Arabidopsis thaliana: one gene and its partner. The protein of the gene in region 2 interacts with the protein of the main gene of each other region in a biochemical or structural test. Each region holds a gene or a part of one and is shown on either strand. Other genes may lie near its edges. The genes, in order: BIN2 and AT4G39680.

Region 1 (5,835 bases), 8.1 Mb from region 2:
CAGACTTAGCCGCTCTAAGTGCTGCCTCGAACAACTCCATGAACTCACGCTTCTGCATCCTTCTCTGTTTGATCGGTCTTTTGTGTACGTACGTGTTTGATCTCTCGATAATAACTAGGGTTTCAAAAGCAACGAAGGAGAAGAGAAATTAGTAAATTGTTGCGTATGGTCTCTCGATCTATCTGATGTTGTTTATATAAAGACTAAGAGTCCAAGACCAGATAGGTTTTGTTAGTTTCGGATACTTTAATTGCTTGCTATCAAAGCCTTTCCCAAATATATTTTTTTTCTAAAAGGAGATGAATTTAACCTGATATAGGTCCCGCCTTTAGAAAATGTATGGTCTTTTAACTTGAACTAACAGATATTTAAAAAAAAAAAAGAAAAAAAAAGTCATGTAATTTTCTTTTTGTTTTAAAAATCCAATAAGTAATTCAATATCTGAAATTCTGAATTAAGAATTATATATTTGTAAATTTTCATTATTTAAAAATTTCTTCGAATCTTAAAACATATAAATACATAAATCAAATTTCCATGAGAGATAAAAAAAATTCACTTATTTATTTATAGGGTATTTATATGAGTAGCGAGATATTATTTTTGTAATGATTCGTGCAATTAAATTGAGTGAAAATTTAATACAAATATACTTATGCTTAAAGCAAAACCATGTATCCATTCATGAAGTGTTTGAAAAAAAAAAAAAGTGTTTGAAAGAAGCTCCTCGTTGAAAGAGTATCACTTTGATTACATTCTTCACCTTCTGCCCAAACTTTACTATATAAAAAAACTTCTGACTAAACTCATTTACATAAGGGGGAAAGAAAGAAGAAATGAAGCAAAGAGGAGACTGTGTTTTTCACCAAACTTGAAAAGAGAAGAGAAATAAGCAGATACAACACTGGAGAGTTTTTGTTTTCGCAGATTTGGGGGAGTTGGTTTTGCTAGCAGCTGGCTTTGTCTGAACGAGTTTGAGGAGGAAAAACTTTGAATTGTGTCCTCCACGTTTGCCTTCAACTACGACCTTGTGGCTCGTGTAATGGTACATTATATATAAAAAAGTAGTTGTCTTTTGCAGGATCCCTTTTAAGTTCCAGATTGATTCAAGAAGCTTAGACCCAATTGTCTCTTGATATGGTCTGGAATCAACTTGTTGACCAGTTCAGGTGATGATCCAGCTACTTCTTGTTTGAAGTTGAAGAGAGGCGGGAAAGGCCGTCCATTTGGTAAACGAGCGTTTGGTTCTCTGAGTTCATCAAAGAACGGATGTGCACAAGCTTCGAGCTGAAATACGAGGAAACAAAATATATAGTAAGGATTCAGTTGGATTCTTAGAGACTGAAGAAACCTCAAGACCAATGCTTACCGCTGTGCATCTTAGACTTGGAGAGTATTGAAGCAGCCTTGATGCAAAATCAATCGCTTCTGGGGGCATCCTTTTGTGGAAGATCTAAACCAAAACGTAATTATGATCAGTTGATGTGTGAAGAAAGAAACTGAAACAAGAACACATGCAAAAAGAGAAAAGACACTAACCTTGTGCCAGGGATGTGCCTTTATCTGTGGAAACCTGAAATCTGTGTAATGTGGATTCATACAACGGATTTCTTCTCGAGTTGGTGTACCAAGAACCTGTGTACAACAACTATACAGTGAGGATTTTGTAGCCAAAGAATGTAATTTGCAAGGAATCATCGTTTAAAGATTCTTACTTTTATAATTTCAACGAGCTGATCCACAGCATTTTCTCCGGGAAATAATGGCTGCATAAGAACATGATATAGTCACAATGAGTCCTAATGCAAATATACACATGGAGATTGAATAAGCTGGTTACTGAAAGAATTGTTTACCTGACCAAGAAGAAGCTCAGCAAGAACACAACCAGCAGACCAGATATCAATAGAAGTTGTGTACTCAGTGGCACCAAATATGAGCTCGGGTGCACGGTAGAATCGTGAGCAGATGTAAGAAATGTTGGCTTCACCTTTAACCTGAAGCAAAAGTAAATTTCAACAGTAAATGACAAGATCACAGAAAACAACAACCGCTACAAGTCGAATGAGTTTATATGTCACAAAGTCTTACGAGCTGTTTCGCACTGCCAAAGTCACAGATTTTGACTTGATGAGTAAGAGGATCAACCTATAGAAAGAGACCAGAAGAGATACATTAAGAACGAAAGAAACAAAGGCAAGAAAAAAAACAAAGAGTTCAATCTTAAAATGTTACACATACCAGAAGATTTTGAGGCTTTAGATCTCTGTGACAAACTCCAGCAACATTGTGAATGTAAGCAAGTCCCCGGAAGATCTAACATAACAAAAGGAAGTAATATCAGCCTAAGAACAATCTTATGTACATCAACTTTGGAAATGGAAGATATGAATGTGTGTTGTTATTACCTGATACATGTAAAGTTTAACATAGACAAGAGGCATTCTTTGGTTTGCACTACTATAATGTTTCAGAACTCGATACAAGCTCTCAGGGACATACTCCATAACCAAGTTCAAGAAAAGCTCGTCTTTACTTGTAGTCGAAAAGAAGCAATGCTTCAAACAAACCACATTCGGATGATCCATCACACGCATCAACTGAAGTTCTCGGTTCTTGTATCTTCTATCTTGCAAAACCTTCTTTATCGCCACGGTTTCTCCAGTCTCCAAACATTTTGCTTGGAAAACGATCCCGAACGAGCCTGTACCAACAACTCGCTCCGCCATGTAACTAATTGTCTAACAACAACATAGAAAAATGTATTGGTAACCATCAAAATCTTGCATATACATAAAAGTGAGTCTATTTGGTTAAAAGCCTTAAAAATACCTGTTTTGGTTCACCATTTTTGCCACCGATTGTGGTGGAAATAATATGACCAGTGACTTGATCATGTCCATCAACTACAGCAGCAGGCATCTCCTGAAAGAGAAAAGCTTTAATATCAGCACAAAACCATTATCAAAAGCTAAAAGAATAATGCTTGTCTGAGAATCAAAAGTCTAAAGAAGGAAACTTTTATCCTAAAAGAGTGGTTACAAAATAACCGTTACGCAGAGTGAATCTGATTTAGTTAAAACTAAAAATATATACTTTTGTCACGCCAAAAGAATGGTAAACAAAACAAATACATATAACAAACCAAACAAGGACTAATCTATGTTCAATTATGGATCTAGCAGCTTGTATAAACTCTGGATTAATCACAGATCGAGATATATAGACATGGATCATCCCAACAGAGCTAACTTAGAAAATTCTAAGCTCAGAACTCAAAACCCTCAGAGATCTCAGGGTAAGTCAAAAAGTTAACGAAAGCTCAAAACTTTGGACAAACCCAGAACTCAAAACCGTTCAACTTCAAGAGTACTAACTAAACTAGATTTATTATCACAAAACATCTGTAAGAACAGGAATCTCAAGACAACTAATTGAAGGGTCAAATGTGGAAAAACCAAAAAACAGGATCTTCTTCTTCAAAAGACAGCAAAAGGAACACAAGCAGCTTTACCTTATCATCAGCCATGGCGATAGAGACACAGAGAGGAGAAGAGAAAAGAAAGAGAGAGAGTGGATTTGAGAGAGAGAGAACAAATGAGTTTCAATCAGTTTGGTTGGTAATGATCATTGTGGCGATAGAGAGAGAAAGGGAAGCCGCAAGATGAGAAAAGAAGGAGAGAGAAAGAACAAGACCATGTGAATCCAGCTCTTCTCTTTCTCTTTCTTTATCTATCTACTACTTTCCGTTTTCTTCGCCATCTTCTTTCGTGTTTTTTATTTGTTAAGCTACAATTACGTAAACACCCTTGAAATTGCTGGTTAATTACGCAGACACGGACTCTTTGTGGAAATTTCGTGATCAAAGGGAAGGCATCATGTACTTGTCGGTCAAATTTGAATCATGTATTCGTTTGGTTTAAGGTCTAAATTGACATTTCATGTAATCTCATAAAATGTTAGAATGCTAGAATTGTCAATGTCTCAAATTTTCACTATCATAAAGTTTATAAGAGGACTGAATATTTATCATATTCGTTGTATTTAGTTAATAAAATGAATGTAATATCACTCATTATTGTAAAAAAAATCAAAGATTAGTCAATACAAGTTAGTTTTACATTATTATAATTTGTTCACAAGTTCGACTTCAAGCAATCTCGTTATCTAGCGTTGTAAAATTTTAGTAATGGATACTTGATCAAAATATTATCATTCCAATTTCATATAAGAAATTACTTGCAATAATTTTTTTTCCAGCGGTGACTTATATATATATTCCAAATTTTGGGTCTATTTTTTTTCTTAACACAAATTTTGGGTCTATTTTTTTTCTTAACACAAATTTTGGGTTTAATAATTATATCTAAGGTATGTGTATAAATAGAAAAGATAGGGCATGATGAAATTGGAACAATATTGTCAAAGATCCAAGTTTGACCATTTGGTGGGAAAACTTCTTTTTTGACATTGATGAAAGAAAAAAGCATTTATGTTTCTTTGGGTCTTAACTTTTTAATGTTTTTATTTTATAATTAAAATTTTAGACTTAAAAATGAGCTTTAATTATTACCTAATAGTGTAGCTTTACTTATTGTGTTTGTTTTTTTCTTTATATTTGTTTATTTATTTTTCTGGAAACATCAATATTAAAATCAATGATGATAATGATAGCAGTCCTAGCATTTGCAGAAGACAACAAAAATAATATTAATATAATTTCTTTTTGTTCAATTATGCATGGGACATACATACTTTTGGCTGTATGGACGGATTTACATTGCATATTTGTGAATTATCTTCAGGCTCAATTATTTAAATGTCGATATGCGTATTATCCAATCGTATATACAATAGCAACTAGATTATAAATGTTCATATACATTCGGTTTTAGCTGAAGATGTTAAATTGTCAATGTAGTAACTAGTAATTAAGTTGTTATTTTTCTCACAAAAAACAAAGTTTAAGTTGTTATGAGTGTTTTTGGTTCTATAGAAATTAGAAATGATATTAAGATTGTCCCCAAAAAAAAATGATATTAAGTTATTGTATATCTTTCTTGTTTCATTGTACGGATTAAACAAATCCCACGATTCTTGTTATATACAATAGTGTAATACTATTGGAGTGTAGGAAAATGAATCGAACCAAAAGCGGTCTCACTCAAGAAGCTTTTAGCCCTTTTTATTTTGGTAGATAATACATGTTTGTAAATAACTACATTAGATAAAAGATTATATAAATATATTTCTGTAAGGGATCTTGAATAACTCTTGAGGTATGGGAAATCACAATAACGTGCACCATGTGACTGAGGTTCGAACCAAGGCAGAGAATGAAGAACTAATTATTCATAACAGTCATTGACGATATATTTAATTTAAAAGATTGATAACATGAAAATGAGAGGCAAAGTTAAGTATAAAGACGAGAATAATGATTGGGTTTGTACGAAACGGAAGAGAAAATCCTATAACAAAAATTCTTTTTCCTAACTAACAGCCAACCGTCGGCAAAAAGAAATGAAAAAATTTGCAGGTAACCTCTTCATAAATCATAACTTCTCGAAGCATATTCTTGCCATTTCTTCAAGCATTCCAGCTAAACTATTGTCTACCTCCGTTAGTTTTTTTTTTTGTTTTTTTGATATATGATTCATCAGTTGATCCAGTTAGTTTTACTAAAAAGTTATTGAAGTATTATAGAATTGATTTTCTTTCCAGAGGCCTGAACGATAACCTCATTGTATAACCGAGTTTCAAATGTTTTTCGACTAATGTCAAGAAATCGGTAAATTGCATGTCTAAGTTAATTTTGCTATTGAACTTGTTTCT
Region 2 (5,652 bases):
TACATTCCTTCTTAAAAAATCAGTTTCTATCAGAATTTGATTCAGGACAGTTAACATAATGTCCATATGAATATCCCATTTCAACCAATATAATAAGAATTTGCACAAAACAAAGGAGTGCTTTTAACTCCAACAATGTAGCAGAATCCCTTTACATAGGTGTATCCCCTTTCAAAATACAAGCATTCTGGTCCAATGCAGGAAAAGGACGAGACAAGAAAAATTTCATGAAACAAGGAATACTGAGACATTCATCTTCTGATTTTTAAATCTGTAAGCTATTCATTTCATTACTTGTAGTTCTTTTTCAAGTTCAGCAAAGGAAATTTTAGTACCTCAGGTGTCTTTAGAGCGGCAGGATCCTTTGGTGAAGCAGATTCCGTTTCGCTTTCTCTATGAACCGAACTAGACTGGGCATTAACAATAATAGGACTATCCCCAGGTTTGGGTACAGCTTCCAACTTCACACTTTCTGCCTCAGAAATAATTTCTGATGGCATGTCCGGCTTAGCTCCTGAATCTTCAGATGCAGAAATAGGCAAGTTTATCTCTGCTCTATCAATGACAGTTTCTTGAGGTGTCTCCTCTTGGTTAGAAGAAATATATGTAAAACGGTCAGATGATAGATCAGACTCGGGTTGCAGTTCTATGTCACTCTGCACTCCCTCGGAAGCTTCAGAATGAGTAACTTGAGGTTGCGTTTCAACTTTTCCATCTTTTTCAGTAGAATCTTCAACACCGGAAGGTACATTCAAATGATGAGCCTCCTCCAGCTTTTCAGTTAGAGCATCAGAATGAATTCGCTCACTTAATTTCTGCTGTTCTTTCCCCAGATATTGATCCAAATAGCCAGTCTGATACGCTACCAGAAAAGCCCCAGCGATTGCAACACCTCCTATAACCACTTTTGAAGAATTTCCTTTAGTAGGAGGAGGAGGAGTCACTTTTGGAGGATCAACTTTTGAGGCATCTGGTTTCCCAACGGGTTTAGCTCCAGGGAGACCATTTTTACCAGATGTAGATGCATTTCTCGAAGAGCTCAAATGAAACCTCTGATGCATAACATAACACAATCAATCCAAGAGAGTACTCACAAGACGCTAACTAAGAATCACAACTAAATTCATAACTCACCTGAGCTCCCAAATTCCTCGGGAATCTCTTTATTGACAAACGAGAAGACAGCTCGAGAACCGACCTAAGCAAAAGAGCAACAACATAAACCACATTCGGTATGATTCACAAGAGAATCAAAGTCACAAATAGCTCTCAATTTAGAGGAATCAATAAAATCAGACCCGAAAGCTACGCAACGAGATTGATGGAACAAGAGAAGCCAAAATTCAACAAGATGGATTGAGATAATAAACTTAGGGTTCAGGAAACATACTTCCGAAGCATTATCGCGTCGCGTCTCTGGTGATACAAACGCCGAACGAGAGAGCGAAGATGTTACGACGGACGGAGAAGACTCGGAGCCTCCGGTGAGTAAAATAATAGTATTCTCTGAAAACCCCAAAAGCATTGAAACGACGCCGTACAAAATTACTTGAGAAAAAGGGTAATTTAGACATTTCACAATACAATGCGACCCATTATCACTTCAGGTCCTCGAGTTTTTCCCCAATATCAAAACCACTCGACGAACAAGAACCCTAGAATTCGCCTCCTCTTTCCAAAATTCCCAATTTTTGTAATGACGGGATAGAAAAATTCCCAATGTCCGCTTTATCTTTCATTCTCGATTAGAATTCTTCAACCAAAGGTCACTCTCTCTCCGTTCCATTGCTTCTGGATTTCGTTTTTAAGGTTTGCGTTCTTCTTTTTCTTCTTCGTCTTAAGAGAGTAAAATCTGGTGTTGAAGAATCTATTTTGAGTCGGAAATTTGATAAATTTGTAATCTTCCGTACTGGGTTTTGATTGTTGTCTTGTCTCTCTAATTGTTTCATTCTTCTTATGCTACGAATTTAGGGTTTTACATTTTTCCTGCCTTCTTTTACCCATCAGAGGAAGTTTCAAGCCATTTTGTTGTAAGTCATCTTTAAACTTCTAGCTCTTTTGGATTGGGTTTGTTAAAGATTTAAGCTTTGGTTTTAAATTATATAGATTTGCTGCGTTGCTTTGCTAATTTGTCTGATTTAGGTTTTGTCCTCTGCGATGGGTTTCTCTAATTTTATATTCAATATTTTTTCAGAATCAGCTCTCTCATAAGCTAAGATGTCGTCATCGCCTTTTCCAGTCTTGGACAACCGACCAATTGATAAGTGGAAGGTTACGGAATTGAAAGAAGAGCTTAAAAGACGGAGACTAACAACAAGAGGCTTGAAGGAGGAATTGGTTAGGCGTCTTGATGAAGCACTTCGTGCTGAGCAAGAAGAGTCTGAAAGGATCAATAGTGCTACTGTTGCTGCTGCTGAAAAAGCCAATCAAGAGCCTCAGATGTTTCCTGTTACTGTAGGTGATCGTAATCAAACCACTCCTGTTACTCCTGTTGAAGCGGCATTTAGCACTGAGACAACTCCTGTTACAGCTGAGAAAACCCCAGAACCAACTCAGACCAAGATAACAACTGAAGCTTCAGCTGGTGTTGAGACTACACCAGCCCCGGTGTTTTCAGAACCAGAGGTTAACGCTGTGCCATTCGCTAGTGATGAAGATGAGAAAGAGAAAGTTGATGATGTTAGAGACATAGCTGGTCTTGATAGTTCAGTGGTTGCACGTGATGCAGCAGTTGTGCAAGTGGCGTCTAGTGAGCACAAATCTGAGAATAATGAACCATTTAGTGGGTTGGATGGTGGGGATTCTAAGGCTCAACCATCAGAGGCAGTGCTTGAAAAATCTGCTATGTACAACCAGGTATCTGAGGTCATCCCCGTTACAGGGTTTGAGGTAAAATCTGATTGTATTTCTACTGATTCTGTGTCAAATAATGAAAAAATAGAACTAAAGGATAACAAAATTGCTGATAATGTCAAATTAGAACAAAATGTTAATAAGTTCCAAGAGCCATCAACAGTCGTTGGCGAATCGCATCCAATGGATGTCGAGGAGCCACTTGAGCAGAAGACATCTGTTGGAGGTGGGGATGACAGCAATGCTGCAAACGCAGATATGATCAAAGAAAATAATATTATCGATGCAGGCGACTCAGAAAAGTTGAATTTAGATAGAAGTTCTGGTGATGAGTCTATGGAGGATGAGCCGGAGACAAAGCAATCCGAGTCAATTACATCTGATGATAAGAGTGCAAAAATTGAAATGCTTTCTAAGGAGGAAAGCCGTGCTGATATGGATGCGGGGAAAGGGAAATCCCCTGAAAATAAAAGTCACCCACTGGTGGCTTCTGACAAAAGAAAGCTTCCTGCTAATGGTAATTCCTCTCATATTCATTTGTTTTATTAATCAAATCTTTTACTGTGTTTAATCTGTAATGTTGGTGTTTGAGGCATATACTGGTAGTGTTTAATAGTTGTTTCATCTTTGTCGTTTATGGCTACTTCTTATATATATTGGCTTTTGAAGCATCTGTTTTGAAATTCTAGCTATGTATGCTGAAATGTCTTTCTTTGTAACTCAATGTAGATCAAGAAGCTGTTGGAAACAATGAACCTGCAAAGAGGCGCCGATGGAACTCTAATAGTATTAAAGTTCCTGAAGCACAGATCACTAATAGTGCTACACCCACTACAACACCAAGGTCGACTGGTCTGAAGCGCGACTTCTCAAGGTCTGACTCTTCGGTTAGTGAAGATGGACCCAAGGAACGTGTGGGTATGTAATACAGCACCCCCTCTATGTATGTTTCCATCTCTTATTCATTGTCTTAAAGCTTTGTTTGATAGATGTGTTCAATATTTATTGGCAGTTCCTCCATCTCCAAAGGAGCCTACAAATTCCCTCAGGATTGACCGTTTCCTTAGGCCGTTCACACTGAAAGCTGTTCAGGAGCTCCTGGGTAAAACCGGAAATGTCACTAGTTTCTGGATGGACCACATTAAGACCCACTGCTATGTATCGGTAAGACCGCTTCTTCAAATCCTTTTGATTTACAAAAATGTTGATTCTGTTTGTGTACTTTCGAATTCAATTATCTAAATATCCAAAGAATTTTGTGTAACATGAGTGAGTTGTGACGTGACTGCAGTATCCCTCGGTTGAAGAAGCAGCAGCAACAAGAGAAGCAGTGTATAACCTCCAGTGGCCACCTAATGGAGGCCGCCATCTGATAGCTGAATTTGTTAGAGCAGAAGAAGTAAAAGAAAAACTGGAAGCTCCTCTGCCTCCTCAGCCTCAGCATCAGCCACAAGCTCAGACTCTTTCGCGGCCACCTCCAACTGCTCTTCCACCACCACCACCTCTGGCCAAACCACCTCACGTTGTAGAACGTCTTCCTCTGCCTCCCCCTCCTCCTATAGCCCCTGAGGAACAAGAACCTCCCATTGTCACTCTTGATGATCTATTCAAGAAGACAAAAGCGATCCCCAGGATATATTACTTACCCTTGTCAGAGGAGCAAGTTGCAGCTAAACTTGCAGCGAATAATAACAAGTGATCTTGCTGGTTCTTGGGAATTTCAGGTCATTGTTTTCGTAGCAGGCTCTTAGGAATTTAGCTCAGTGCGGACAAAAGTTGAGTACTCTGTTGAGTTTGGTTTGTTATTTTTAATGTAGAACGGATGGGAAGACTCTTCTTATGTTTAGTAGACTTTGGTTTGAACCTGTGATGAACTAACAGAGTTGTTTGGCTCTCTGTGTGTTAGATCTTTTCCTCTCCATTTCTTCTTTTACCTTTTCATGGATCTATGAACAATTGTTGGGTCAAAAATAAAGTAATAGCAGCCCAATATTACCAAATTTCAAATCTTGCAACTTACTTTTAGATCATGTGTCAAACCTAGTAATGGGCGTGTGTCAATGGAATAACCTTTTAACACTTGATAACATAAACACACAAATTGTACACTTTCACAAAACTACAAAGACGACCAAGATACGTTTTAGACACATCACACATACATACATAATTACATGCAAACACAAAGGACAAATACTTGGGAGAGAAGGCTCTGAAGATCCTTTTCAAGAATTTCATTACTTTGAACTTCACTTTTGTGATTTGAACTCTACTTGTTCATAAGACAAACGAGAAGGATAGATTTTATTAGAAATCCTTCCGGACGCAAAAGATGTTTCGACAGGGAGTCTATGAGCTTCATCGTGGTCGAAGTTTCTCTCCTTTTCTAGCTTTTTCATCTTCTCCTTCTGCTTCTTCTGCATGACTTGTAGGTGTGCGTAACTTGCTCCAATGGACGACATTACTTTTTAGTGTTGGTTAACAAAATAAATGTGTTAAGAATAAGATGTGGTTAAGATTTTCGAAGTGAAGGTTGAGTTTGTAGAAGAGTGCCTATTTATAGAGGTTTCTACGATTTCATTGCCGCTCTTAATTAATATATTTCTCTCTTTGATAGCCTTGATGTCTTAGGTGATTAAACTATGGGGAGTCGGTTGTTCCACAAATTTACACATATTATTAATAATGATTCATTTAGAAATTACTTATAGGGGGAGGTTTTATCTAGTTTGTGGCTTTCGCTTTAAGGGCGGCTCTTATACCAGCGGCACAAACTATGGTCCAATACATTCACATCTC

Evidence for each region.
Region 1: of the proteins of AT4G39680 (region 2) and BIN2, one has a biochemical effect on the other in vitro, tested with the Arabidopsis thaliana proteins (one study listed by BioGRID).

The regions. Positions count from the first base shown.
Region 1 is NC_003075.7:10,294,168-10,300,002, reverse strand, and holds BIN2 (Protein kinase superfamily protein), read right to left. Parts: upstream 3,866-5,835; 5' UTR 3,530-3,865; coding exon 3,515-3,529; intron 3,478-3,514; exon of another isoform or gene 2,926-3,477; coding exon 2,833-2,925; intron 2,742-2,832; coding exon 2,409-2,741; intron 2,317-2,408; coding exon 2,242-2,316; intron 2,149-2,241; coding exon 2,092-2,148; intron 1,998-2,091; coding exon 1,857-1,997; intron 1,767-1,856; coding exon 1,716-1,766; intron 1,636-1,715; coding exon 1,540-1,635; intron 1,454-1,539; coding exon 1,370-1,453; intron 1,288-1,369; coding exon 1,090-1,287; 3' UTR 614-1,089; downstream 1-613. Other genes in the region: AT4G18720 (Transcription factor IIS protein), read right to left, coding at 1-58. UniProt on the Arabidopsis thaliana protein: Negative regulator in brassinosteroid signal transduction pathway important for plant growth. May be also involved in auxin signaling pathway. Phosphorylates and increases the degradation of BZR1 and BZR2/BES1 by the proteasome.
Region 2 is NC_003075.7:18,413,504-18,419,155, reverse strand, and holds AT4G39680 (SAP domain-containing protein), read left to right. Parts: upstream 1-1,547; 5' UTR 1,548-1,809; intron 1,810-1,971; 5' UTR 1,972-2,030; intron 2,031-2,194; 5' UTR 2,195-2,217; coding exon 2,218-3,370; intron 3,371-3,582; coding exon 3,583-3,771; intron 3,772-3,865; coding exon 3,866-4,017; intron 4,018-4,144; coding exon 4,145-4,552; 3' UTR 4,553-4,850; downstream 4,851-5,652. Other genes in the region: AT4G39690 (MICOS complex subunit), read right to left, coding at 336-1,052, 1,135-1,198, 1,391-1,401; AT4G39675 (uncharacterized protein), read right to left, coding at 5,103-5,315.